Linked DNA regions of Saccharomyces cerevisiae S288C. Changing the gene in region 1 together with any one later gene gives a genetic interaction. Each region holds a gene or a part of one and is shown on either strand. Other genes may lie near its edges.

The links. A genetic interaction does not mean that the proteins touch.
Region 2: mutations in CDC1 (region 1) and RPS4A impair growth when combined (synthetic growth defect), as found in Saccharomyces cerevisiae (2 studies listed by BioGRID, with this or other methods).

Annotation. Positions count from the first base shown.
Region 1 is NC_001136.10:825,552-829,311, reverse strand, and holds CDC1 (putative lipid phosphatase CDC1), read right to left. Parts: upstream 1,731-3,760; coding exon 255-1,730; downstream 1-254. Other genes in the region: YDR182W-A (uncharacterized protein), read right to left, coding at 1-161; SAS4 (Sas4p), read left to right, coding at 1,957-3,402; cohesin-loading factor complex subunit SCC2, read right to left, coding at 3,536-3,760. UniProt on the Saccharomyces cerevisiae protein: Probable metallophosphoesterase which may participate in recombinational repair of double -strand breaks.
Region 2 is NC_001142.9:701,527-704,907, forward strand, and holds RPS4A (40S ribosomal protein eS4 RPS4A), read right to left. Parts: upstream 1,543-3,381; coding exon 1,529-1,542; intron 1,273-1,528; coding exon 501-1,272; downstream 1-500. Other genes in the region: MGM101 (Mgm101p), read left to right, coding at 1-165; YJR146W (uncharacterized protein), read left to right, coding at 2,359-2,712; HMS2 (Hms2p), read left to right, coding at 2,670-3,381.

The DNA of each region.
Region 1 (3,760 bases):
TGTTCTTTTTTGTCCCCGTATAGTGAAGTAATTGGTGTTACGCCCAGTCCTGCAGTTTTAGCTTGGACCACAAAACATAATGCAAATCCAGTAGAGGTTATGCAAACTGTTTGGTGAGCATAGTAATACCACACCCGGTATAATTTATATCTCTTGTTCATTGTCTGTATATAAGGTGTATTCGCATATATTAAATAGCCAGACGTTTCCCTTCAAAGCATTTTGATCCTGGAAGAGAATAGCAGTAATTCTGTCTAGACTACAGTATAAAAATAAATAAAAATGGGCATCACAGAAACAAAAAGGACAATTGCATTAACTAGAAATTGTTTGATCGAACGCGTATCATTCACAGCGTATTTACTATGTGTCAATGATTTTTTGGATTTCGATTTGGAAATACTTGTAGGTAATGGCAAATCTGAGGTGTTACCATCAGGTCGTGTAAATACTCTGTTCATTATGGTTGCTACGCGATTATTAAAAGATTTTGGGAAAAAATGCATGTATGCGATAAAGGCAGCAGAGAATAATAATCCCCATAGGTACATTCTGATTGCCTTATAGGGATCTGGCATATAGCATAGCTCTGTTTGGTAAGTTTTTGATGCATACTCTCCGCCGGCATTTACCATTGTCAAATCTGAAGGATTATATAAGGAGAGCAATTGAATAGCAGGCCTACTGATCCCCATGTTCATTGCACATGACTTTACTGTAATTTCTTGAGCATTTTTAGTTTTCCCCTGAAACGGATATGAGTGTGATATCTGACAATGGTCATGATCATCCCCGGAAAATAATATTTCTGGTTGAATTTTCGTTAAAATTTCTTGTGATATATCGTTTTCTATAACTGTCTGGTACTGGTGCCCTTTCTGAATAGGAAAAGGTTCTTTGGATTCACGTAGCTGACCGCACGTTTGCTGTTCTGGATCCCTCCATAATGGAACGTGAGTTAAAAGAATTCTAGGAAGCGGATGTGAACCCATTGCAAAATTATCCAAAAACTGTCTAGGAACCCTCGAGACATTCGGATTTGTTTTATCAGAAAGCGAAATTGTATCTAAAAGTACAAAGGTATGATTTCCAGCGTCTAATGAGGAGGAAGTTTCTCCAAAGTAACTAGAAAATCTCTGTAAACTCGATTCAACAACTGTGTCTCCAAAACCAATATCGTGATTACCTGGTAAAGACATGACCGTTCTTCTCAGTGGCTTCTTGGGGAATATTTGGTTGAATCGTGTGTACTCTTTAATCCATTGCTTATCATCCCAGTTTCTCCCTCCATCAAATAGATCACCTAGGAAAAAATTGCTATCAGGATCCAAGTAATACTGGACATATTTCCAATTTCTCCTGTGATAATGGTCAACAATCACTCTTGTAAAATAATTAACTATTTGAGGCCTCCCAGGATATGAATATTCGTCCATTATTTGTGGGTCTGCAAATAAACCCACCCTATGACTTTCAGCGCCTTCAGGCCAATCCTCCCAAGTCGACCATTGGCACTTCTTCATTGCTCTCTTCACAACCACTGATTCATAATAAGATATTAATCCTAACCATAAGATCCATACAATAGATATGTATCTCCAGTAGATTCTTAACCTCTTCTTGCTCCTGCTTTTTGATTTCTTTTTCGAACGTGATTTATAGTGGGCCTTATCGTCGCTCTTCTTGCTGTGTGTAGATAAAACGCTCTTTGACCTGTTACGATATACCATACTTCCTAGAGCTTATTGTCTAATGTATCCAACAGATTAGTAGAAGCGGTACTGTTTTCCCTTTCTTTTTGGTTATTGTTGTTTCCATAATCGTTCGTTCTACATTTTTAAAAATAAGAAAATCTAACCCGCGAGTTGATTTCAGCGATCTCAAAACAAAAAGTAGCAAGATTAAAAAGGAAAACCGAAAATTTCTACAGCATTAAAAGCATATGAGAGTTCATCAATGGGTATTTTTCAATCAATAGAAGAAGCAAATAATACTTCTGAGAGATTGCTGAGGTCTGAGATTAAAAATAGTCATGGAGAATTTGAAAAATTCGATTTTGATACAGAAGAATACGAAATTAACCCTAAAAGGAAGTTAAGATTAGTCAGCAGGATAAACCCAAATGCTGGACATCTAAGGAAATCTAAGTCCTGCTTTACTGTAGATGAGCATGTTGACGAAACGCGTTGTCAGAAACCTGTGATGAAGTCGCCGTTCATGAGTAATGTCGATGATGAGATCAAGAAAAAGAGAGAGACAATTACAAAGATGACACTAGAAATTGAACATCATGAATTGAGCCAGAATATTAGAAAACCAACTGATGATTTGCTTCCTGATAGCACGTATCAGCCTTACCACAAGAAAATGTTGAAGCAAGAAAATAGAATGATTCAATCGGACATCGTAAATGGTGAAAATGAAGCAGACAGGCTTTCATTAATTTCAGACAGACTGGGTATGTTGAATTGGGAAGTAACATTACAGAAGGTTACTAAAATAAATGACCCCACTGACGAGAATGAAATGGAGACTAAACGTTACCAAACTAAAGAGCTGATTGATTCAATGTTACATAAATTTGAATCTATGAAAAAAAAAAGCCGCAATTTAGCTAGAAGGCCAGCCTCAAGTGATTCATTGTTGAAATTGGTTAGTGGCAAAGATTGGCCCAAGATATATACTCGAATCGATCGAACTTTTATTCCAGATTACGCAAGCTCCTCTGACGAAGAAGAAGAAAAAATAACCGTTGAGGAAATAAGGGAGAGACGCCTAAAGAAGAGAGAGCAGCAATGCGGTGGTTCCATTATAGTACTGCTGAGCGATCATCAATCACAAAAGGGAATGACACGGTTTGCTATCGTAGCTGAGCCGCTCCGAAAACCGTATTTGATTAAAACCTCCACTAAAGAGAGAAATTCATGGAAAAACAAAGTTCCCACAAATCCAAAAAAATTCAAGAAAGCTCCTCGAATATCAACGCAAATTGCTGTGAAAAGAAGAAGGGAAGTCATCCCGTTAACGATGGAGGTGGAACCAGAAGTCATTCGGGATATAAGGCAAGATACACAAAAGTCTATGAAACTGAATGTTAAAGCGGAGGAAATATCTGTGACAGAGACTGTCAAATCAAAAGAAATGAATGCCTTAAGGAACAATGCTGCATCTATAAGTCCAACTCTTTCAGAGAAGGCACCTTTAGGTTCAATTTCATCTTGCACTGCATCTCAGATTTCACAAAGGTCTTCTGAGAATGTGGGTGCTATTATTAACAATATCAACCCAAACTTAGCAATAGTGCCCTCTTGTAACGAAAAGACCTTTGTAAAAACACACAATGGAATGAAAACTAACTCAGGTATTAATATTTTGCCTGTCCGCAAGAAAAAAAAGGTTTAGTTTGAACTAATATAATGCGATGGTGTAAATGAAATTCAATATTTCATAGTTGCTTCTCAAAACCTGCGTGAAAAATCAGCATGGAAAATGCAAAATGATTATTAATACTATGTATATTTTAAGTGCAATATATTTACGTATCCTTCACGTGTTTTCTAAAATATGTAAGAAGCTTGCCATTTGATGAATACTGTTCAATATTCTCCAACTGTGCGGAAAACTTACTGATATCCGGCTTCTTTGCAGGGAGTTGTTTGTTCTTCAATTCTGATTCTTCTACAATATCTAATAAAAGCACATCATCCCTTAACCCGTATAAGTGCAGTAGATAAGTACCCAAATCCTGTAAGCTTAACTG
Region 2 (3,381 bases), on another chromosome or scaffold:
TGTTGCAAAGATCTCGGCGTCGGTTCTGAATTATGGGACCCTGTTTTCATAAAGAAATTCAAAGTGGATCATTGTACTGAGAAGTTTGTGGAACATGTTACCACCAAGAGAAAGAAGAAAATTTGGTTAAGAAAGGACAGACAAGTTGAATATCCTTATAAATAGTCAATATGCGAACCATATAAGCTAATTTTAGTAAGTATATATATTCCAATACAATCACACACACACACACACACACACACACACACACATACGCATATATTGTGGTAGTGCGTAGTGTCAGTACGTCTTATCATACGCCTTCTATTTCAGGGTTAGCGTATTTTTACTATCAATATTACAATACGGATATATATACACACACCTAATATATATATTATACGTTATATTACTGCCAGTCGAAAAAGGAAGATACGATGTATTATTTTAAAATTCAATTTCTAATAAACATTAATGGAGATATACAAAAGAAGAAAATAATTAAGTTGTTATGAAATTTATAAACCTTGTTGAGCTCTTCTTCTGTCACGTTCTTCAGCAATAGACAACTTGATACCCTTACCCTTTGGCAAAGAAATGTAAGGCTTACCTTGTTCACCGATGACGAAGACATTGTTCAATCTAGTGACGAAAGTGTTGTCCAAGGAGTCCTTGATGTGAACTAAATCGAAACCACCATCGTGTCTTTCCTTGTGAACGATAGTACCGATACGACCCAAGTTACGACCACCAGTAACGTAAACCAACTTACCGGCATCGAACTTGATGAAATCAGTAATCTTACCAGAGGCCAAGTCGATCTTAACAGTGTCATTGACCTTGATGTTTGGGTCTGGGTATCTGATAGTTCTACCATCGTGGGTAACAACGTATGGAACACCCTTCTTACCTAATTGAACCTTCTTGACCTTACCCAACTTGTAAGAAGCTTCTTCATCGGTGATACGGTGGACAGCGAATCTACCCTTGACATCGTAGACCAATCTGAAGTTTTCATTGGTGGCATCTAGAGTGATGACATCCATGAAACCAGCTGGGTAGGTAGTGTCGGTTCTAACCTTACCGTCCACTTTAACGTGACGTTGCATCAAGATAGCCTTGACTTCACGGCCGTTCAAAGCATACTTTAATCTGTTTCTTAGAAAGACAATCAATGGCAAGGATTCACGCAATTTGTGTGGACCAGCAGATGGTCTTGGGGCGTAACAACCGGACAACTTGTCCAATAACCAGTGGTGTGGAGCTGCTAATCTTTTTAGATGCTTCTTTCTGTACGGAAAAAAATGAGAAAAAAGGGCAAAAATGAATGTATAATGAAGATACAGACATTTTATTTTTTTCATTGTGCTCGTTAGTAAATCATTACTCGTAAAATATTTGTACAATCCCAGGATGATCTAAAATTAAATGGACATAAACTGGTTCATTGTTGTTCCTATTCGTTTGGTTAAGACTCCACTTGTTTCTTGTCTATCATTCTTCTCATCCTTGCGTAATTATAATCAAAGTCTATAGTCAAACATACGGTCCTCTAGCCATCTTTGCGTATTGATTCTTTGGTTTGTTTTGGGCAGAAAAATCGCTATATAAGAAAGTATTTCAACACTAGATTAAATTATAGTATAATTTTTAATATACTAGTATTGCCGACAATCTCTGAAATTTCAATACTACCACACAGAACAGGACTTGCCAGGGCCAGTCCGAGCCAGCCTAACTCCAAGACCACGTACTAAGTGAATTGCTACTCCCCCTTACCACGACTACAAAGAGCTACACGGCCTCCCGGCCTAGGCCGCTGCTACTTTCAACTGATGTCACCGAAAAAAATAACGGAAAACGACAGTTCAAGAAAAAAAGAACGCAGGAAGAAAAAGGAAGCAAAATTACAGAATGTACGGCTGTTTAAAAATAAATAGTGGATGCATGGGTGCTTCCACGCGTCTCTGGGAAAAAAAACCAGGATATTTTAATGTTTGTTTATTTGTTTATTTCCTGCTGAACTGAATATTGAAAACATCGAAAAAATGCAGTACCCAGCTCTCCATTAGGACTTTTTACGTAATGACGAAAATGGACAAGCTGCGCAGGAAAGGACTACGAAAAGTATGCTGCCATAATGACAAGATAAGGCGCAACACACGTAATCATGACTAATGGTTGCACAGACGGTAGGCCAGGAGAAGGATTAGATCTCGTGCCGAACGACAGCAAGCTAGCTAGACTATGTTATCTGAGTGTAAACGAAAGCGCAGCAGTCTCTGCAAGAGCACGTGCGACGTGTCTGGTGTGCAAAAACCCTCTAGAGAAACATTGCTAAGGTTTACCGATGCAGGAAATCTTTAGTTCTAAAAGATGAAAGTCGGAAAAGCCAAAAAGAAACCGGAAATCTTCTCTGCGCATTGTTCTGTGGCCACGGCCTTCCTGGACCCGTCCTTCTTTTACCCGAACTTTGTCGCCCAAAAGGCATCTCATTATAATGACAAAACTGGATCTGCAAATATTTGGACATATATCTCCAGAACGGGCTCACTTCTCCTCTTCACCCAGGTGGTATATAGGAAGAGTAAGTGGACGCATCAGTCCGCGACATTTGCGGACTGTATATATTGCCAGTCAGGGCAGTCGCCAAGTGTGTCTCTTTCGTGTAGCGACGCACGTCAGACATGGATGCAACATCGAGGATGGAGCAGCCTGATGTCTTTGTAAGCAAACTCTACCACCTGCTGCAGGGGAACGCTTACTCGAACATAATACAATGGTCGACTGATGGCAGCAAGCTCGTCATTTGGAATCCGGACCAGTTCACCAAAGTCATCCTAGAGCGATTTTTTGGTATTCACACCTTTGCAGCATTCGTTAAGCAATTGAGCAAATATAACTTCCAGAAGGCGGGCCGCCCGGACTGCGTGGAGTTTTCCAACATTCATTTTCAAAAAGATAACATTAATAGCCTCTCACTGGTTAAAGCTCATCAGTCTGCCGCCACTCCCAATGTCGCCGCCGTCAATAATATGAATAAGCAGTGTACTTTTCACTGGGACCCTTTCAAAGTGAACTCCATTCTAAGCAAGGCCATCGGCAAGCCTTCCTTCGAGAAATTAGTGAAAAATGTTGACAGGCTTCAGGGCAATCTTGATGAGCTTAAGTCGACAAACGCAGATAGTCTGCGTATTATAAGGGAAATTAACGCCAGCTTACAGACAATCTCCTACCACCAGTTTCACGCCTACCAAACCGCTAACTTCCTTCAAGAAAATTTTGAAGCCATCAAAAAGGTTGTATGCCCGGACTCTTGTCTACAACACCAGCAACGCCAACCAAAGCGCCCCAAACGCTACTCGTTGCTGTTACTAATACCAAACGCATCCGAATTGT